Linked DNA regions of Oryzias latipes. The protein of the gene in region 1 binds, or shares a complex with, the protein of each later gene. Links are inferred from orthologs where the notes say so. Each region holds a gene or a part of one and is shown on either strand. Other genes may lie near its edges.

Region 1 (4,120 bases):
CTTCTATCTGACCATGAAGCATTAAGTGGAATGAATGTTCCAGAGAAATCTAAAAAAAAAGAAGAAGAAAATTGCAGAATTTAGAGGAAAAATTATGTTCAAAAGAGGACAAGGGCTCGTTTTAACACACCTTTAGATAATGTTTAAATCCTGAATGCTTCATCCGTTCATATATGACATTGTAGTCATCCATCGTAGATTTGGGATGATGGTGAAGGATCTCAGTGCTGATTCTCCAAACAAGCTACAAGAAGATATTAAATTTACCTTCTTTTTAAGATACACACATTTGGTGAAGACGCAAAAGCAAACTTGCCTCTTTGTATTGCTGTGCTGTGAGATTAACTCTGTCCTCTAATATTTGTGCATAGCTGGCCATGTACTCTGCTGCCTCCAGCCACCTGTGATGAAGCATGGCTTCTCTGATGTACTCCAGGCACAGTCTGACGCTCTGGTGAAATCCATTTTCGTGCAGAGTCTCTGAAATTATTTAAGTAAAACTTACAAATTAATGAGTTCCAAACAAAAATATCATTTTTTGGCTAATGTAGAATAATTCAGCCAATTAGGGTTTGTTTATTATTGCAATAAAATGTAGATGACATATGTTTTCATGATAAGTATAATCTTTTCAGTGATTTCTGAAGATGTTTACTTAAAAAATACCGTTTTAATGACAATCTGTATGGTGTTATCTGACATATGCTCATAAACCCATATTTTTTTAAAGAGAATTAGAGGGGAAAACGCACTTTTATGGAATATAAAGTGTGTCTTACTTTGACAAATTGGTTGGATCAAATCTAACTTGAATGAGCTTCCTTCTTTTCTAGAGCTGTTGTCACAGGAGTCATCAGCATCATCATCATCATTCTCCATGTCTTCACGAGGGTTCAGTTCTTTCTCCAGGTCGTCCATGTTTGGCTAAAAGTTATGGCTCTTCAACCTACGAGGAGAAAAACAATGAGAGACAGTAAAGCAAAAAGTAGCAAACAGGTCCTTTGACATTACAATTTTTCTGTTTTATGAACATTTTAAAAATCACAAAGATGCTCTTCTAGAACTAAATAACGTGTCACTTATGACCAACTGTCTGCAGATTTTTAGGTGTACAACACAATCATAACTACAGGGGTTGACATAGCCCAGAAATTTGCACTGGCCCACAGGGCCAGTAGTTTTTGAAACTTACTGGCCCTGCCTGAAAGTTACTGGCCCGACACCGCGCATAGCGGGACCCGCCGCTCCGCAGGTGCTTGCAACTTTAGGGGGGTCCGGGGGCATGCCCCCCCGGAAACTTTTAATATGGTGCAATTTGGTGCATTCTGGTGACATCACTTATTTCTACACTTTTCAATGACTGAAAATAGACCATATCAAACTTAAATCTGCTCTAGTCTGTTTCAGATGTTTTGAAGAGAGCACTGCAGTGTAGTAGGTAACACTAGTTCAGAAGTTTTCATGGTGCTTCTAACGGCAAATATCACAATAAATCATAAACCTTAAATGTGTTAAAACAATCTAATGGCAGCTTGAACCATTTAACGAATCAAGTAAATCCCTTAATGCATTTGACCAATCGGATGGACGCCTTCACATTGTTGACCAATCAGATGGAGCCCTGTTATGTTAGATGTTTGTAACCTATGTCAACGTGGGTCATTTGGAGTATAATTTTTAAACTGGGAATGGTTATTTGGTTATTTTTCTGTTTGTTTATATACCGCAAATTATATCGTTATCGCAATTTTAATCTCTGATATCGCATATCGCGAGTTTTCCTCATATTGTGCAGGTCTAACTGAGATCATTCAGCTAACTAGAAATACTTACTGCTTACAGTAAGTATTTCTACTTTAAGTAAAATTAAGTAGTTTAACATTCTACTGCATTTGAGTCTGAGATTCAGGTATTTGGAGTTGCCTTTGATTCTTTGACATTCAGCTTAAAGCTTAGTGCATACAGTTTCATCTTCAATGCATTCATTAAATATCTTGCTGTCCATAGTACTAATTCCACCCATTACTCCATCTAACATATTCCTATCTATTCCTGCCATGTCTTCCACATCTCTGACATGCTTCAGTCTCTCTTCAGTGACGGTGTCGGATTTATAATCAAATGTAATAATAACCCACTGGCTTGTGCCTTCGTTGTTGCTGTTTAACATTGTTTTGTATTGAATTGTTACATTCAATAAAGTTTGAAAAAAAAAGTAGTGAGCGCGTGCCGCGTGGTGCTCCGCAGTGAAAGCCGCGCGCGCGCAGGCGGGAGAGAAGGAGAAGTGATCAAAGGTTTCCCATAGAAACCTTTGAAGTCTGAACACAGGACTAGCAGAAAAACTAAATTATGAAGACGAGGTAAATCTACACGTTTTCGCAAAATTTACTTTATTGAAAAAGGTGAAGAATATATAAACAGTTAGATATTTTAGTGGCCCGAGCGGACAAGTGAAAAGTAAAGTCTTGTGGTCCGCACTGCTCGAAAAACAGGACCGGGCCAGCGGACAAATGGCTATGTCGAGCCCTGAACTAGTAGCTGACATTTGATTTGCTTACCTGGCCAGACTAGCCCCACTGAGGCTCACTGTGTTGAAGTTACCCTACTCGAAAATAAGCGTCAAATTAGGATGAAATTAAGGTCTTATCTTACGGAAATAGGTTTTACCTAAATGGTGTCTAAATAAAAGAGTATGCTTGGCACTAAATTGATATTTCTGATTTAAATAACAAAAAAAAACGTAATTCTTGCTACACATGTGAGATGTTTGTAGCCACCACACTTCCGGTGCAGCTCAGGAAGTAGATTGTGAATCTGTCTTGCTATTGGCTGAATCAACCCAAGGAGGCGGGGCGGAGCAGGGGGTTTCCTCCACGTGACTTTTCACGGTCTCAGAGTTCCTTACTTAATCAATAATAATAAACTACTTACTAAAATATAAGGCAAAGAAAGAGCCAAAATTGTAACTACTGCAAAAAGATTTGCCAAATATTTTTTTTGAAGAAGTAAATGGGCTTCGATCTCTTTTTCCCTCTTCTCTCTTCGGAAATACAGTAGTGTGTACTTGTTGACAGTATTTGTAAATGTATCCACTACTTGTGCTAAGAGCAAAAAATGCATTTTAAATCACAAAGTAAGAAAGCTACAGTGTTAGCAAGATTTATTTATTCTCTCAAAACCTATTTTTTATTTTAGTCAATGTTTTGTTTTACTGAAATTTTTATTATTTTGAAATTGAAGAAACATATACATGTAAGTTTTCTAAAAAAAAATAAATAAAACTAATATTAATAGAACACGTAAAAATTATTTTGAGTTGATATTTTTACAATGTCACGGTATGAAGCTTATTTTTAACCATGTCATTTTTTAAACCTAGTAGTAATTATTTATCTTTACTTTCAATATAAGGAAGTCTTCTACAATGTTTTTCAGTGAGTTATTTTACTATTTCCTCGTAATTGCGTTACTTTTGCTCAGAAAATAATGTTCAGTGGTTTGTTATTGGAGCTAAGTGAGTAATTTGAATGTGGCCACACACACAAACACATTAGAGAATGAGGTCGTGCTTTCCAGTCTTCGTGTTTATTCTGGTGTGGACCTGAGGCTGATTCTCAGGTACCTGAATCCGCCTCATCCATCGATGCGAACCCGTCCGGGCCTCCACCCAGCCGGATCTTAACTGCTGACGTGTCAGCTCCTGCGTCCCACTGCTCATGCTCCGGCGGCGGCGGAGTCAAGTCCGGCTACACTAACTGCCAACATGGCAGCAAAACATTTTTACCGTCTAGGCTTTTTATTATTAGTTTTATTTTATTTAATACCAACTGCAGCCTTGGAGAGGAGATTCTCTGACTTTAAAAGATGCGCAGACGAGGAGTGCAGCAGTAAGTTTGCCTGCAGAGCTGGGGAGGGACGCGGCTTCATGGATGCGGCGTTCCCTTCCGTTGATCCTGATACGGGAGCTAGCCATAAACCACGGCTTATCTCTTGACCTGTTGCCCGTCGATACTCGCGACCTTGACTCTGGTCTTGTTATGGTGGAAGGATGCTCAGATACAGCGGGGTAGTCGATGCTAACCTCAGCTAAACGGGGGAATAGCAGGGCCAAACTGCCCGG
Region 2 (3,816 bases), on another chromosome or scaffold:
TTTTTGTAAGAGTTTACTTTTATGCCAAATAGCTTGCCTGCTTGTGCATCTCCTGTGGATAATAGATGAGGGGGGCAGTTATTAAAAAGGCTTTAGAGAGAGATTGGGGGGGGGGGGGGGGTATAGGTATGATGGAGAGCTACTGAGGCCCAGGAGGACCAAACTAGACCAAGGAGGTTGAACTGTTTTTTTCTAAATGCTGCTGGCAACTTAACAGGGCAGTTGTGGTGCAGAAGTAGAGCGGTCAACCCCTGATCAAGAGGTTGCAGGTTTAATTCCCACCCTACCCGCCCATGTGTCCAAGGTTAAGACACTGAACCCCACCTTGCTTCTGGGGGTTATAGGTTGGCAACATGGTTTGGTAGCTGAGCCACAATCAGTGTGTGTGTTCATGGGTGAATGGAACTGTGACTGTAAAATGCTCCAAGAAGATAGTTAAGGGGCTAAATAAGTATACGCCGTTTACCATTCTGCTTCAATAAATCAACAAAAAGAACATGTCAGATACCAAGAGCGTTCTTTATCATTTAAAGAACAATTTAACAGCCATGTGAGATGTAAGTTGAAGCCTTACTGGATACAACAGTTCAAATTTGGTAGAATACTTTATAAAAACATAGGATGACAGTTTTCTGGTCTTTGACAAGAGTTTTAAAGAAATTAATCAAACTATAAAGAGATCATTTTCTGAGAAAATGCGCGCAAGTACTAACAGCTGTCCAGTTGAGAATCAGGGTATGCTTCAGGAAAAATAAATATAAACAGCTGATACAGTTTTATTGTTTCTGGTTAGTTTGCTGAGTTGCTGTCCTGCTCCTTCACTTTAGTTGACTTGTGTAAAATGTATACCTGATTGTCCTGAGCCTCCGTGGCTGCAGTTTAAATCTGAGACATCGATTCCTGTTTTTTTTCTTGTAGAGTCCCGATGAACTGACCAGTGTCATGTGTGACAAAGGTGGAGAGGACCAACACGTGCACCAGAACATGCACAAGTTCAGTTTAACAAACAGAAACAGCTCATCACTACAAAAAAGCAGCTCCCTGGATCAAAACAGAACCAGAGTTGAGGTGATTGTGATCAGATAGTAAGCAAAAGCTTTTCTCAGGAGTCCTCCTTTTCCTGGAACCTGAAACAAGACAAAGACCGGTCAGCTCCAGAACCGTACAGCAGGACAGGAGGGTCACGCTGACGCCACCTACCTGCAGTGGATGCAGGTGAAGAAGACCGTCTGTCCTTCATCTGCAGATCTCATCTGCCTAGTGTGGTAGATCATGCCTTCCTTATTGCAGCGAGTGCAGCGTCGGTCAATCTGCAAGCAAGGCAAGAAGCAAACCGTGAGGCGTTACCGCGACAACGAACGCTCCACTGCTGAGCGGACGGCTGCTTTTACCACAGGGCCCTTCAGCTCTGAGTTCTCCTCATCCTCCAGAGCCAGCAAGGTCTGCTCAGCGGGGTTGAAGATAACCCCAGACTGAATTTCTCTTCCCAAGAACTCTGCAGAGCAAAAGCAGCACAGTTAGAGGATTGGACAGATTAGACCTGTTAGAGAGACATCAGGAGAACCCTTTTGTCAGTGCAGACTGGCTCAAATAATTTCATGAAAGCATTAAGAGTAACTTTCAGCAACAGAGTTCTTCTGAATCCTCAACATCCTTCCCATGACCTGTGATAGTGTCACGTGGTAAAGGACACATGTATGAGCTGCCAGTGGATCTCCAACCCCAATATGAGGCCTTCCCAGGGAGGAGGAGTGAGCCCAGCAGAGGTTACTGTCTCATCACTGCTCCACAGACCGGCTGAGGAAGAAATTCAATGACTGATGTTGATCATATGCTAAATTGATTTGTCTGAAATGTTTCATTTGAGCAGTTTTAGGTGGTTGCTTTTTATTTCCCATTCTTGTTAAAGCATACTAGTCATTAAGAAAGGAGGGCAGTCAAATCAGAGAAACTAAAAAATCAAGGAAGAACTTACACATAATGTGAACTTAAAGGTAGTTGCTGATCAAAAACAAATAAAAAATGGAGGGAAATGTCAGACTGAGTGCCTCATTTTCAGTAAACCGGTAGTTTTGACTGTACTCTTGGTGCTTAAAAGCCATTCGGTTCTTGAGGGACATGAACCAGCAGCAGAGCAGGCAGACTCTCATGGCGGCGTGGACCGCTTACCTGTCACGGGCGTGCAGAGACAGCAGCGAGGGCAGCGCACCGTGTCGGACAGTCCTGGCAACGGCAGGACGCTGCCACAATCCTGACAGAAGTTGGGGTCGCGGCCGTTTGAAGACATTTGCTCTGGTTCTGAGGAAGCGCGGCGGCTATGTTCAGAGCACGTGACACAACAACAGTCCGACAGACAGATAGCTAACACATCATGCTAACTTGCAGGCACGTGGGTGGGCGCGCGCGGGCTCTCGGAGGAGTGATTTGAGGATAATTACCTGATCGATGGCTGTTTGCACAAAAACAGACAATAATTTACTTTCTCCTCGCCCGCATTGGGTGTTGTTGTGCGCTCTTCTTCTTCATGTTAACTAGAAGATGGTAATGTCACGTAAACACGAGCGCCTCGTAGTGGACAGAAATGTGAATGACACCATTGTAGTTTTCCTTCATTTGACCCTAAATTTTAAGGATGTTCCAACGTTTTACAACTCAAAAGACCTTATTTATTCGTAGTTGACTCTTATAAATTCATCACTTACTACTGTTGTAAGTTATATGAAGGTTTTAGACTACTGTAACTTTATAAGTGTGTTTTAATCCAGATATTTTCACCTCTAATGTTTCAGTTAGCCAAAAATCGAATTAATAAATGTCATTTTGTTTCCTTTCTCGCAAATGTTTGATGGTTTTTCTGTCTTTTTAAATCCATTATTTTAAAAAAAATAATTTTAAAATGTATTTAGCAAATTAAGCACTTAGCTTGCATCAAATTCCTTTGGTTGCTCAACATATTTAGTTGTTTTTTTGTTATTTCTCACAGCAGTATTATCTTGTAATATTGCATTTGTGGCATTGTTCATTATTGAGTTTTTCTAATAATTTCAGATGTTTAGCAAATTTAGGAATTATCAGTTCACCTGGGAGCTTTTGCATTTAAGTATTCAAGCTGGCAACAATTTAATTGAATAGCCTCCTTTATTTTTCCTAGGAATTAATGCTTTTCCTGGTAAATCCTGTTTGTACTTCTGGCCACAATTGCATATCTACATGTAGTTTTTTGCAGTTTCCTCTCAAATAATTGTAATTAAATTCCGATCTGTAAAAAATTGAGCCTCCAGTTTCACACACAAGGCAATTAATCCGTATTTATATCTTTGCCCACAGCCTCAAGACAAAATTAGATTTAAACAAGGTTTTTAAAAATAAATTACAACCTGATAAAATAAAAACAACCTGCTTGCCTATTTAAATCGACATAAATTGGCAAGCAGGGGGCATAAAACAACTAGAGCACATAATTATTGATAGTAGATTCATAACTCCCCAGGAACTTCAAGACAAACATGGAATAAATAACTTCTTGGAATATCAGCAACTTAAATCAATTATTACTAAAAAGTTTAAATACAGAGACAACGATTTCAAGCTACCAGACGTAGTTACCACTCTGATTAATTTCTCAATGAAAAAAACTCTCTCCAAAATATACAAACTTTTATGTAATTTAGATAATAATATTTCACTTCCGACAACAAAATGGGATGCGGATTTGAGCATCAGCACAGATTAAAGCTTCTGGTCAGAACTTTGTCTAAACACCTTTAAACTGACCAAAAGTCCAAATCTGCAGCTAATCCATTTCAAAACTCTTCA
Region 3 (2,855 bases), about 16 Mb from region 1:
AAAGTCAGATTTAAAAATATTGCCAGAAGTGACCTGAAGGATCTGCAGGAGTCCGACAAACTGGAACCGAGGAACAACCTCACCTGGCTGTGTCCTGGTCCCTCCTCTGCTGAGCTCGGTTCAGAGCGGTCTGCATCAGTTTGTACCACCTTCGCAGGTTAAACTGGGCCCCTGTCAGAGAGAAAGCATGAGCTTGAAGAGCCCCCACCAAGAGGACTCACACACAGGGGGCACTCACGGACCCTCTCCGTCTGTGGACCTGGCGTTGTTGGACAGCTCCCTGAAACCAGGAGAACCGCAGTGAGACGACCTGTCTGTGGAATGGATGTAGGGGGGTGGGGAGGGCAGGGCAGGGGGGGTTACCATTCGGTGTGGTCGTCCAGGCCAAAGAGGAGCTTCATGGTGACGATAATGAGCGCTGCCGCCTGCAGGTCGTACCGGGGCAGGGTGGGCTGGGACTCGGGGTGGAACGTCTGGCGGCTTTCATGGAACAAACCTGCGAGCTCCGCCACTCTGCAGACCCACCTGTGCAGCTCACCTGCAGACAGGAAGGAGCCGCTCAGCCCGCGCAGCATGCATGTCTGTCTGTCAGCTGGGACGGAGGAAGCTGTTACCGGGCAGGTTTGCATCGATCAGGTAGCGCAGGCTCAGTGGCCCCGGGTGGAGCAGAGTCTGCTGGCTGATGGGAGGAAACGCTGGAAGTTGCAGGAACAGAAGCAGATCCTGAGCCTCCTTATGCAGCGAGCGGTGAGACGGTACCGTCTGCAGAGACAGTTCACCACATCGTCAACAAACAGGAGAACACAGGGCAGAGGTCAGCAGCTCACTCACTCCAGGTCGTTACCTCTGCAGTAAACAGAAGAGCATCTTTGCCGAACAGCTTCATCTGCTCTGGGAGCTGCTCATGGGCCTTCACATACGGGACGCTTCCACAGTTCACCAGTCTGAGAGCAAACACAGGATCAGCCCAACATCCAGCAGTCCAACGCCTGGTTTGGAGGAGCAGATTACCCAAGCAGGTCGCTGAGAGTCAGCGCCTCCCGGCTCCAGACCAAGGCCAAGTGGATCAGGGCCAGAGTCTTCTTCAGGCTCAGGAGTCTATGGCTCCGCCTCTGACGGGGAGTCAGGTAACAGAGGCTGTCCGCTGATCCAGACCAGTCACTGCCTGAGGGATTAGGCTACATTTCAACATACAATACTCACAATACGTCATGGATATTGTGAAAAAAACAACAAACTCAGTGGATGTGATATACACAGAGACGTGGTGAGCGATACGCCGAGGTCAAAGGTCCTCAGGGTTGGCTTTGGGGAAGGAGGTGTAACAGTCTGGACAGGTATCACCAGTCAGGGTCAAACTGATTTGGTTATTGTAAATGACCCAGTCACTGAATGTTCTAACCTCAGAGACATCATAGAACCATTCTCATCCCCCAATTCCACCAGAACACCCCCAGCTTTCTGTTCATGGATGATTACACCCTATCACATGGTACCAGTACTGTCACAGCAGGACTTCAGGAAGTGGGAGTAGCTCATGTGGTATGACCAGCAATGACCCTTGACCTGAAACCCATAGAGAACGTCTGGGACCAGCTGAAGCAGACTGGATGATGGTATCCCACCCCCAAGTGAGCTGCAGAACTACATGCAGCACTTATGGAAGATTGGTTCAGACCAACACCATGAGGTTGGTGAGGAGACGTCACTGTCAAGCTGCTGTTGATGCAAATGCTGCAAATACCCACTATTGACATTTCTGTTATTTGGGGCTATTTTTATTATTGTCCTCATTTTAGGGGTAATATTAACCTAATGAAAATGTTTTTTTCTCATTAATTTTTAGTTATTAGTAATATCTCCAACTTTCTGTCAGTAGTCTAATTCAATAATTAGATAATAATAATAATTCACTCATTTCAAAGTCAGACCCCCCTGTAGTCCCCCAGACGGCAGAGATCTGAGGTCTGGCGTCTCCATAGTCCAGTGACCAAAGACTTCATGGCTGACCCCAGCTGCTCCTGCTGGGGGAGTCAAACATACCTCCTTTAGAGCTGGGGCTGCTGCAGGGATTTGACTCTCCATCCGTCCCGCTGGCTGATGCCACAGACGCCTCGGCTGCGCTGTCTGAATCCGAGTCTGCGTCTCCCTGGGGGGGGGGGGGACAGAACAGAAGGCTGCTGCAGTCATCATCACTCTTCCTCTGAAGACATTTATGTTTGTTCCTGCATTTGAGTGGATCTAAAAATTCAGACTAAACTGATATCCCTCCAGTTATGAAAAAGCATGGAGAGCATATGAATAAATAAACATCCGTGTTAGTACTCATTGAAATCATGTATATGATTATCTCAGCACAGATTTTCAAAGGAAGGTGAGTCACAGACTGAAACTGACCACTCTGAACTTGGCGCTCCTAACTCGGTTGACGCAGTAAGCCTGCCGGCTCTTCTGCAAGTAGAGCCTCCACAGCTGACGCAGCACGCCGTCCTAAAGCGGCGAGCCACACACTGATCAGACGGGCTCAGGCATCGATGGCAGATCAATACGGACAGATTCAGACCTTGAAGTGAGGATGGACTCCCAGCCTAAGCAGGGCATCCGCCTGGTTCATCAGGATGAACTGGAAACCTTCACAGACCATCCATGTGTGACGGCCACCTGAACGACACAGAACACGTGTGAGACAAAGAAACACAAACGTTTCAGATGGGCACTGCCATCAAACTGAGAGGAACCCAAAAGCATTTTCAAAGATCTAAAACTGGAAACGAAGCAAATGTCTGAATGAGAGTTCCAGAGTTTAGAAGCAACAAGGATTCATGGAGGAGCCTGAAGATCAGAGGATGCTGGAG
Region 4 (3,500 bases), on another chromosome or scaffold:
CGTACAAACACACAAACACACACAAACACGCACGAACACACCCACACACGCACACACACACGTACATATGCACCTGTACACACACGTACAAACACGCACACACAAACACACACACAAACACGCACGAACACACACACAGGCACACACCTACACACACACACACACAAACAAGCACGCACACACCCACACATGTACACACACACCTGCACACACGCACCTATACACACACGTACAGACACGCACACACAAACACACGCCCACAAACACACACACAAACACGCACGAACACACACACAGGCACACACCCACACACGCACGCACACACCTACACATGCACCTGTACACACACGTACAAACACGCACACACAAACACACGCAAACAAACAAACACGCACGAACACACACACAGGCACACACCTACACACACACACACACACAAACAAGCACGCACACAACCACACATGTACACACACGACCACACACGTACAAACTCACACACACACATACACACACATGCACGCACACAAACACACGTGCACAGTGGTTCTGCTGCCAGACACTGGCACCAACTGGGAGTTCAGTGTTTAACTCAAGGACACTTTGACACTTGGGCAGGTAAGGCACAAAACACACTTGGGACATTCCAATTAGGTATCAGCTGCTGTCCCTCTGCGTCTGCCCCCCACCCCCCACATAATACAATAAAACTAAGACAAATGCTCAGAATGTTTGGAGAATCACATCAGTGATCCGTAAGTTTGAGACCAAAGACTCAATCTGAAGCCTTAAATGCAGCATCCCTACCTGGGATGAGGGGGGTTGGTTAAGATATGGGAGGGGTCTTGTAAAATGAAAAAACTATTGATCATCCCTCATACTCCTACATCATTAAATAGAATCAATTACCTTAGGCACTGCGTGAAAATCGACTGGCTGGTTAGTTTTTTGAACCGTGTTTTTTATCCAGTGTGAGAACAACTGACCAGTCTGAAGCTGCAGAGGTAGAAGAGGGTGAACTGCACATGTGAGGAAGCATGTGTGGGCAGGATGAGCTTGTCAAAGATGCTCAGGAGATCTCGGAACAGCTCCTTGGACCGCTCAGCATGGAAAGAGCCTGCACAGACGACAGGCACGGTGTGGATGCACACGTTTCTGTGGCTGGACCAACACATTCTAGCACAAACACCGTTACACAAGTCCAGCAATGAGACACAAAGAAACGTACTGCGTTAACATTTGATGCAGGTGGCTGAGTCTAACGGCAGTGGATGAAGGACTACACTGCACTGTGGATATCTGCTGCAGAGTCGAGACGTTTCTCTCAGAAGTGACATTTATAAGTGTTCTTTGTGTGAGGGGTCATGTGTGTTCATGGAGGGGAGTGGGTTGTCTTTTTATGTAATATTGTGTTTGTTTTTAAATGTAAAGCACTGAGGCATGAGAAGCACCCTTTTATAAAGTTTGATTTGATTTGATTTGCTGAAGCATCCAAACTGATAGCAGCTTTAAGCTTTGGTCACATGCACGTGTACGGGGGGGGGGGGGTTGATCCGAACGGGCGCTGCAGGTTTTTGGGTTGTCTGGGTCCATGGAGGGTCATTGAGAGGAACCAGTGCAGGAGTGTCCTACACTCCCCTTGAGGCGTGCACGGTCACCTCAGTGTTGTATGTGTGCTACGTGTATCATAGAGAACATCTACGGCTAATGGAAACTTGGAACACACGGGTGATGCTGTGGTACAGTGTCCTTACACCACACTCTAGTCGTCTGAAAGGTCAGAGTTCTGGCTCACCGAATGCAAATGCTGCACACACTGGCGTGCACGTGATACACAAGTGCCCGTCCGTCGGATGTTCACACAAAGTACACCGTCTAATTTCCTCATTTCCAACAGCCAGGATGTGGTAAGGAGCGCCGACTTGAAGACGTCAACCAGTCATCGGTGAACCGTGAACAGAGGACGTGAAGCAGCAGGCCGATCTATCATTGATCAGTGTGACTGTTTCCTCCTGTTGTGTGTCTGTTGTGTGTCTGACCTCTCAGGGAAACAGCTCAGTTGTTTCTCCTTTGTGTTTGCTGGAGGTCAAATGGAGCCGTTTCTTATTCTGGTGGAACATGTAGCTGTTAGCTAGGCCTACTGACGATTAACAGTCACATTCTCCCCAAACTATTTTGACCTTCGGCTTAATAAAACGTATTTCCATCTTAGTTTGACCTTATGAGACACGCTTCAGTGCTGAGGATGTCCCTTCACTTTTGTTTCAACTTTTCACAGAGATCAGTCGTTTAAATGATGTTAATTGATATGAAAACTTTGGTTGAAAAACCCTCACGAAAGTCCTGCTGAACCTGTTCCTCTCTGGAGGTTTCAAATGAACATCAGTGATCAGCCTTATAGACCACTAATCATCAGGAACGGCCCTGGGGGGAGAAATGATAAACCCTCGGTCTGTCCCAGTTTCCCTCTGGGGGGGTTTAGGAGCTGTATTCCATAAGGACCGTTGTGAGTAAGGCATTACTTTGTCTAAGGCCAACGGTGAAGAGAACAAGCAGGCAGAGCAGCAGCTCAGGGGGAATAGGGTTGATGCCGCTGATGTTCCCACATGAATCCTCTGCCTCCATCTAGTCTTCTCCTCTTCTTCACTCACACATCCATCCTCCTTAACAGCCTTCACAAATGTCCTGTGGTCTTCCTCTAGGCTCTTCCCCTGTCCAAACGTCTTCCCTGCACTGATCTCCAGAACCTCCACCATGATCTGTTCCTCTGAAGGATTTCTTCCTTCCACTTTACTCCTTTACACCTCTGAAGTAAAAGTCTTTAGCTAGAGCAGCATCCTTTCTAGATGTGATCTGCCTACCGTTAACGTGGCAGACGTCTTTGATGTAGGCCATCAGTACGGTCATCAGGGCGTCCAGCCTCTCTCCTACCGGGTGGACCGTCACCTTCATCGCCGGTGTTTGTTCCGCCGGGACGTCTTCATCCTGATGGGAAGGAGTTTTTGTTGAAGCAAAGATGTGGAGAACATCCTGACCAGAGATCCGTCTAATGTCAAACGGTTCACAGCGTTACCATGTCGAAGAGCGTCTCCTGGTCTGTGCTCTGCTCCTGAACGCCCTCCTCTGCTCCCTCCAGGTCTGCACGGGAGACACTCACCTGCAACACAGTTGTTAAGGTTAATTAGAACTATTGAGTCTATATGAGAACTGGACAGTGACTCCTCCCCCCTGGCGTTCCAAAAAGGGAGTGGCTCCAAGAAGCTGAAATGCCATGGACTCCTATAGAAACAGCTGTTCCTCAGTCATTCTGTTGATCAGAAGAACCGTTCCTGATCTGATTCTCAACATCTCCTAGACAATCCTCTGTTTTTTCATCATATTTTGTGTGAAGTTCTAGTTATTTCATTTATTAACTGACCAATCAGACGCCTCAGGAAAAGCATGTGGTCTCACATTTGACAGATTCTCCTGAGCCTGCTTTCGATGGAAGGGGTGTGGTCTTC
Region 5 (2,802 bases), on another chromosome or scaffold:
AACGGAAAAGTTTGGAAACATCTTCAAATTCACGAAATGACAACTTCAACCGAGTAAACTTTAAACGTGACCTTATTAGCCAATACAAGTCATGTGCCACTACAGACCAGTTTGGGCCGTTCATTCAGATGCATCTCCAATAACAGCAGCTGTTTTACTGCTTATAAATAGAACTAAGAGAAAACCATTGGTTCTTTTACCTTACATATTGTGCTGTTGAACCACCATGTTACTCAAATTTCAAAGTGTTCAATTTAACAATACTTACAGAAAACTGTATAAAAACTACTGAATGTCATGGATCTGATGACCTATGAACTCTATAGGTTTCCACCCAATGTGACCGATTCAAGTTTCTTTTCTAGACTTGAAGAAATTGAAGGGGTTTTTTTTACTTCAAAAAATTTCCTCCAGATAGTTTCAGATAAATAAATGAGTCTGTGGCAAACACACTGCTTAAAGTAAAAAAAACCTCAGATGTTACAAAGACAAAACTCTGCTTTATGAACAGGATGTATGAACACGTTTATTAACGCACAGTACAGCTCTAACAGTTGTGGAGGAACAGGTATCCAAATGGAAAATGGATTTCTGGTGACAACATCCATAATAAGTGGAACAGACGTTAAGTTGAAACTTATTTTAAAAGTTTGGCTTCTGAAAGGTAATCCTTAGGTTGGTTAACGAGAAAATGAAATCAACAAGTGCCAGAAACTCAAATCAAAAAGTGATAAGTACTTTTCTAAACAAAGTTTTGCAAAAAGAAAGAAAGAAAAAAAACCAGGACAAGCAGGAGCATTTACACTGTTAACTCACTCTCTGCAGAGATTTATAGAAAAAAACAAACTCCTTTGTCTTGGTGCATTTAAATTGAAGACAGACTAATGAACATTATTGTTTTGAATGCCTGTTAACATCATTTTTCCAAGTTTCCTGTTTGCTTTAAGCTTTTTGGAACATCCTATCAACTTTGAATGACTAATAATTGAAAATAAGTTATATACATTTGTACAAGTTTTACAATAAAGCACATCTGATATCACAATTATGCTCAGTTTCTTCATAAAAAATAAAAAGCTTCAAGCAATGATGGAAACATGGGGTGACTTTGACTGGTAAAGGCAAATTATTGCAGAACAAACTACAGTCTGGATCGGATAACTCAATTATTGAAATGGTTTCTATTCGTTATAAAATGAGGGCTTTCACTGTAACCTGGGGACAAGTATGGCTTCAGTTTAATTTGAAATTTGAAAAGTTAATCGATTTTGTGGCAAGATTGTTTACAAGGGGTTGACCCAAAAAATAAGGAGAAATCATTCATAAATCGAGTAAAGATAGAAAAAAATCAGTTTGCAATATATACAAAACCTGAAACACTGAAATAAAACCAGGAAAAGTCCCGGTCTACCTGCCTTTTTCTTCAATACTTTTTACATTTTCGTACAATTCGATGTAAGAAAACTTGCCAGCGAGGAAGAGAAGAAAATGTAAAAGCTAAAAGCAGGTAAAGTTCCGGGTGAAGATCAATTGTGATGAGGAAACGAGCAGAGGACCTTTAAAATGTCTTTTTGGTTAAAAAAAAAATTAAGGGAAAGACAAATAGTCTTTCACATTCAAGTCTTTACTGTCAACTTGAAGAGGTCAATATTAAAATGTTAACATCTCAGTGAATATTAAAGAAAAAATAGACAGAAATGTAAAAAGTTATAGCGTTTGGATAGAAAACAGGGAATTATAAGTTCTACGTAGTCTTGCGGAATCCTTTCAGGATGGGATAAATGTTTTCAAAAGCTTCATAGATTTCTGCTCTCACCTTGGCACCTAAAAATAGAAATAAATACAATAAGTTAAAAAACAGAAGGTAAAGCTCATCAAAAAGAATTTAAAAATCTGTTTTGGAACTTCAATTTTACATCAACAAAATTCTAAATACTTCACGGAGAACAAAGAAAAAATAGAAAAATGCTAAATAAAAGTGTAAACAATAAGTACATACAGTTAACATCCTGTTTTACTCACAATAGGAAACAAAAAAGTCTAGTGAAAACTTACCTGTGAGTACCACCTTCCCAGAAACAAAGATAAGCAGCACAATTCTAGGTTTGATCATTCTGTAAATCAGGCCTGGAAAAAGCTCCGGCTCATAGCTGCAATACAAATATTACCTCATTTTAGAAAAGCAAAATAAAACCAGGAGAATAAAAAAAAAATATATAGTTTGCCATCTGAGTGTCAAACTTCTGTCTGTGAGTCAGATTGTGGTTTAGGATTTTGTTCAATTCTGACCTGCTTATCAGATTTACAGACACTGCAGGAAACCAGTTTAAAAAATGGATGGTTTTGGAGCATTAATAAAATCTGATGCATACATATCATTGTGGTGCTTGTTCAGTACATTTATATCATTTGTCATCCATTCAGATTTATTTTTTTACTTAATATTTTCTTTTATGTTAAACATATATGTTTAATACCTAAGTTGGCATGTGTGTCAGCACAGCTGTCCCAACATATTTTCTTATCAATAACTGTCAATAGTCGATTAAACTGTCACATTTTTGAAAAGCCTTTCAGGGATTTTTATACGGATTCTTTAAATCTGCAGTAAAACAAGGAGAAATTACCTGCTGAACTGCTGATGTGTGAGGACCAGTCCTTCCAGACGAATGGGAAACTTGACATCACAACTGCCCACCATGTTTTGAATCTTGAAGTCCAAAAACTTTGCAGGAAAACCGAGCTTTTGCACCACACGGGCATATTTTCTAGCTGCTAACCTGGACTGTTCCTCACTACAAA
Region 6 (4,029 bases), on another chromosome or scaffold:
AGTTAATCAACACTTGTAATTGTTTTGTATAAAAGAAAGAAATATTTATTTACAGTGTACCACCAAGTGGAAATCACAGACCTCAGTGTAGTTTGTTGGAGGAACTATAAAAAATACAACAGAGGTTTACAAAAACATGGTGTTTTGTCTCTAAGATGTTCATATGTTCCACTTTTCTAGATCCCAGTTTTACAAAGGTGGATGAAGGCGGTAGAAAACAGAGGAGGGGGGTTAAAAGGCCAGCTTCTTCATGAGGAGATAGACTCTGGAGTCTACCTCAAAGCCGTGTAGATTGTTGGCATCTCCCTGCAGCCTCATGAGAAGGCCTCCATAAGACACATAGGCTGAGCTGAAAGAACAAGCACATCATTAGAGGACTTGATCAACATTTACACATACATACAGTTTATTTAAATTTTTACTAATCACTAAATTGACAGCACTTGACTTTTAACTTAAATAAAGGATTGTAATGATCTACATGCATTTGTGTAGAACTTACAGACGCGTGGCTGCTTCTGTTGAGGTCTCATCGCCTTCTATCTTGTAGACCTTTCCATACATTACATAGTCAAACTGAGCTGCCCTAGAAACAATTTAAAAATGGAAGATGAATCAAAAGCATCACACATTATCTGCCACAGATTGAAAGACATGGATGTTCATTTATCTTCTTTAAATGCCTTGCCTAGATGGTCGATCATCCTGGGGATTGTACTCTCCATCATCTGGCGTTCCATCTTCATATAATGTACTGGCAATCACCAGTCTGAACTTGTCCCCTTTTTGAAACATGCAAAAAAAAATCTGGATTTATCATAGCAATGTACATAATCACCTAAGATCAAGCTACACTTCTAATACAATAGTTTTACATTGAGTCAAAACTGAGTTAAAATAACTTATCAATTCTGCACCAACACCTTACAAGAGTGAAGAATGACAGTTTCACTAAATACTACCAATAATCAATTTAAAAATTCCTCCACAAAGGCCAAATGTCTAAGATCAAACAAGACATAAACAATAAAGGACATTGTTAATTTCTTACCAAGATCAACAGGATAAATCTGAGTATTTACATCCAAGATCAGGTCCATCTTGAAAGATTCACTTTCACAATGCAGACGAGACACTGCAGTATAAGTAATAATAACCTGTATTAGTTTATATTAAAGAGAACTGAAAACATTATGAAACTGACTAACGCGCTTTTAGATATCCATCTTTTTCAAGCAAATGCATATAATGATTATGTTTGTTATTGTGTTAGTTTTAAAGCTACTAAAAAGCAGGATTGAAGGTTTCCCAACTCAGTAATGTGATGACTGTAATGTTTAGCTGTAATAAAATAATAAAATAAAAGCTGTAATTACTGACAACACAATTTTTTAGTCACACTTAACACAATATGAACAAAAATGCAATATACAATTGTAATTATGACTTTTACAACTGAAACTATCTACTGGTGAAGATCGTTTTTGTGTTTTTACAGTGACAGTCCACATACCTCTGTCAAATTTCTTGCCATCTGGATCAATGTCTTTCACATCAAAAATATCTTCAAACAAAATCCCAGCCATCTTTATCCCTTTCTGTTAAACCTAAAACAGATTCATCATAAAACAAAATTAAAAGGGAAGGTTAGTCACACAGCAAAGCATTTTACGTAGCCAAGTCAATCAAGAAAAACACACTATAGCAGTGAGTGCTATATTGTGTTTTTCACAGTTTCAGTGTGAAATTCCTATGACTCTTCTTTCTTCTTTCTTTCTCTTTCGGCTTTTCCCATCAGGGGTCGCCACAGCGAATCATCCTTTTCCACCTCACTCTATCATGAACATCTTCTACCCTAACATTAGCCAACTTCATGTCCTCTGTTAAGACATCCATATATCTCCTCTTTGACCGTCCTCTTGGCCTCCTGCCAGGCAGCTCCATCTCCAACATCCTTCTAGTTCTACCAATATATCCACTATCCCTCCTCTGAACATGTCCAAACCATCTCATTCTGGCTTCTCTGACTTTGTCGCTAACACAGGCAACATGGGCCGTCCCTCTGATGTACTCGTTCCTTATCCTGTCTAACCTGGTCACTCCTAAGCGTTCTGGTCCCGATCTTGACTATAATTAATTAAAAACAAGTTAAAAAGAAAAAGGAATAGGTCAAAACAAATGGAAATCACAAAGCTCTCCCACCGTGTCAAAGTGGGTGAACAAAACTTGTCACAACTTTGGACAACTTTAACAATGTTCACTTACGCGCTAACTGTAGCATCATGTTGTCCACACAAAATATAATACTTACCCCCAAGTGCTGTTCTTGTATTTTTGTGTAAATAGTATGCCCTGGAATGTGGTGAATTCGTGTAAAAACGATAATAATGTAACCTAGACGTCAGATATTTGATTTAGATAGATTTTCATTCATTATTAAGCGAAATAGTCGGTACCGCGCAGAACCAGCGTGTTCGACCTTTGACATAACAAGAACTTCCGTTTTTTTGTCTCTTTTTTTCTTTTAAAAGAAAGACGCATGTTTTGCTTTACTGAATGTTATACATTTTTTAGAAAGGGAAAAATGCGTTGCGATGGTGTAATGTAGAAAAAATGATCACTAAAATAACACCAATTAAATTTGCCTACCGTTTTATTTGAAGGCTCACAATAGGTCAAAGATGGGGAAAAAACGAATAATATTTTGGCTAAATTTTACGTAGCAAATAAAAAAAAGATTTTTATAAAAGTATTTGTTTTCTCTCAATTATTTAACTGATAATTTAAGTAACCAACAACTGAACTAATTTTACGACAGTTTTTACTAACTTCCGTCTGTCGTCATCTTGTTGCTAGGTGCGTTTAGCGTCCTCTGTGTGGACGGTTGCTAGCTAATGTTAAGGCTGTTGTTTTTACCATAAGCGTCATTATATCGAAAAAATAATTACCAATATACATTTTAAGCATAAATAAAATATTTAATGAAACTTCTAATGCGGATTCTTACCAAGAAAAGATGGTCAAACGAGGTAAGGAACGCTCATCATGTGAACAAACCTGACTGAAACAATTATTGACTAGCTTCCTGCAGTTTGCAGCTCTTCAAATCTCTGCCGTTATAGTTAACGTGTTTTCCGCTATAAAATGCATACAAAGATGAAAATAATTTTTTTTTGATCATAGTAGTAACATTAGGATGGTCTTAGTTTTAGGGCAGGGATGTCCACTTAGTTTCTTCTGTTTAGTTTAGCAATCAGCTATTGAATTCTATGACTTTATGTTCTTTATGATTCATGTTTATTACACAATTACCGGAATGAAGCCCATTGAGATGACTATTGCTGTAAATATTGGGCTATAAATACAATGTAATTGAATTGAATACAACTACAGTAACCTCGGTTGGAACAAACAAATAATAATTCGGAAAGAAAACTGAAACCGTACAAGTTAATACAGGTTGTAATTATTTGCTCTTGTTCGAATAAGCAAGACTGGTCATCTTTACATTAAAACGTGAAATTATTGAAGTATTTTTTTCTTTTTCTTTTTGCCTGTCTGTGCTATTCTGTCTGTTCAGACTGTTACCTGTTTTTTGTAAGTGCAAAGGAATTTCAAACTGAGCCCCAAATGACGGCCGGTATTTTGACAGCTGTGGTCCACGGATGAGTTCAACTAAGACAGCCAAGATGGGAGACATCTTGGCAACTGAAGCCGATCTCCTTGGGATGATTAAAGAGGTAAAGCATGATAGGGATGTGAAGAAAAAAACTGCAATTAAAATCCATAATCTGTTTATTCTGATAGTTGATCTAACATTTCAATGTATTCCACGATGGTGATTGTATAATTAACACACTTTGTGTTTGTTCTCTTTAGTACCTGAAGTTTGGGGAATTTGAAGAAACGGTTCAAATTTTTGACAAAGAATGTAAAAGCAAAGGCAAACTTGTCTCCAAGCCTCGAGGAAACGCTCTCAGAGACTCAAAGACTCGTGTCATTCAGGTAAATTATACGTTTCATAAGATA

The links.
Region 2: taf1a (region 1) and znrd1 share a complex: the UniProt entries of both Homo sapiens proteins name them as parts of the pol I pre-initiation complex. The link is inferred for Oryzias latipes from reciprocal best matches to the Homo sapiens genes TAF1A and POLR1H.
Region 3: taf1a (region 1) and taf1b share a complex: the UniProt entries of both Homo sapiens proteins name them as parts of the transcription factor SL1/TIF-IB complex. The link is inferred for Oryzias latipes from reciprocal best matches to the Homo sapiens genes TAF1A and TAF1B.
Region 4: taf1a (region 1) and rrn3 share a complex: the UniProt entries of both Homo sapiens proteins name them as parts of the pol I pre-initiation complex. The link is inferred for Oryzias latipes from reciprocal best matches to the Homo sapiens genes TAF1A and RRN3.
Region 5: taf1a (region 1) and tbp share a complex: the UniProt entries of both Homo sapiens proteins name them as parts of the transcription factor SL1/TIF-IB complex. The link is inferred for Oryzias latipes from reciprocal best matches to the Homo sapiens genes TAF1A and TBP.
Region 6: taf1a (region 1) and polr2h share a complex: the UniProt entries of both Homo sapiens proteins name them as parts of the pol I pre-initiation complex. The link is inferred for Oryzias latipes from reciprocal best matches to the Homo sapiens genes TAF1A and POLR2H.

Annotation. Positions count from the first base shown.
Region 1 is NC_019882.2:5,957,613-5,961,732, reverse strand, and holds the start of taf1a (TATA box-binding protein-associated factor RNA polymerase I subunit A), read right to left. Parts: upstream 2,801-4,120; 5' UTR 2,559-2,800; intron 947-2,558; 5' UTR 919-946; coding exon 780-918; intron 481-779; coding exon 317-480; intron 245-316; coding exon 131-244; intron 50-130; coding exon 1-49. Other genes in the region: mia3 (transport and Golgi organization protein 1 homolog), read left to right, coding at 3,764-3,887. UniProt on the Homo sapiens protein: Component of the transcription factor SL1/TIF-IB complex, which is involved in the assembly of the PIC (pre-initiation complex) during RNA polymerase I-dependent transcription.
Region 2 is NC_019869.2:21,549,312-21,553,127, reverse strand, and holds znrd1 (DNA-directed RNA polymerase I subunit RPA12), read right to left. Parts: upstream 2,561-3,816; 5' UTR 2,439-2,560; exon of another isoform or gene 2,299-2,438; 5' UTR 2,288-2,298; coding exon 2,170-2,287; intron 1,496-2,169; coding exon 1,392-1,495; intron 1,311-1,391; coding exon 1,201-1,310; intron 1,128-1,200; coding exon 1,103-1,127; 3' UTR 501-1,102; downstream 1-500. UniProt on the Homo sapiens protein: Core component of RNA polymerase I (Pol I), a DNA-dependent RNA polymerase which synthesizes ribosomal RNA precursors using the four ribonucleoside triphosphates as substrates. Can mediate Pol I proofreading of the nascent RNA transcript.
Region 3 is NC_019882.2:22,300,544-22,303,398, forward strand, and holds part of taf1b (TATA box-binding protein-associated factor RNA polymerase I subunit B), read right to left. Parts: intron 2,662-2,855; coding exon 2,564-2,661; intron 2,491-2,563; coding exon 2,398-2,490; intron 2,150-2,397; coding exon 2,044-2,149; intron 1,166-2,043; coding exon 1,012-1,165; intron 945-1,011; coding exon 845-944; intron 763-844; coding exon 615-762; intron 539-614; coding exon 364-538; intron 281-363; coding exon 243-280; intron 172-242; coding exon 84-171; intron 1-83. UniProt on the Homo sapiens protein: Component of RNA polymerase I core factor complex that acts as a GTF2B/TFIIB-like factor and plays a key role in multiple steps during transcription initiation such as pre-initiation complex (PIC) assembly and postpolymerase recruitment events in polymerase I (Pol I) transcription.
Region 4 is NC_019866.2:25,533,914-25,537,413, forward strand, and holds part of rrn3 (RNA polymerase I-specific transcription initiation factor RRN3), read right to left. Parts: intron 3,155-3,500; coding exon 3,071-3,154; intron 2,983-3,070; coding exon 2,859-2,982; intron 1,115-2,858; coding exon 984-1,114; intron 1-983. UniProt on the Homo sapiens protein: Required for efficient transcription initiation by RNA polymerase I (Pol I). Required for the formation of the competent pre-initiation complex (PIC).
Region 5 is NC_019861.2:24,478,921-24,481,722, forward strand, and holds the end of tbp (TATA-box-binding protein), read right to left. Parts: intron 2,796-2,802; coding exon 2,628-2,795; intron 2,151-2,627; coding exon 2,056-2,150; intron 1,825-2,055; coding exon 1,745-1,824; 3' UTR 501-1,744; downstream 1-500. UniProt on the Homo sapiens protein: The TFIID basal transcription factor complex plays a major role in the initiation of RNA polymerase II (Pol II)-dependent transcription.
Region 6 is NC_019862.2:11,777,284-11,781,312, reverse strand, and holds the start of polr2h (DNA-directed RNA polymerases I, II, and III subunit RPABC3), read right to left. Parts: upstream 2,801-4,029; 5' UTR 2,650-2,800; intron 2,503-2,649; exon of another isoform or gene 2,312-2,502; intron 1,608-2,311; 5' UTR 1,587-1,607; coding exon 1,514-1,586; intron 1,136-1,513; coding exon 1,052-1,135; intron 783-1,051; coding exon 689-782; intron 587-688; coding exon 503-586; intron 350-502; coding exon 232-349; 3' UTR 1-231. Other genes in the region: lisH domain-containing protein ARMC9, read left to right, coding at 3,666-3,740, 3,880-4,005. UniProt on the Homo sapiens protein: DNA-dependent RNA polymerase catalyzes the transcription of DNA into RNA using the four ribonucleoside triphosphates as substrates.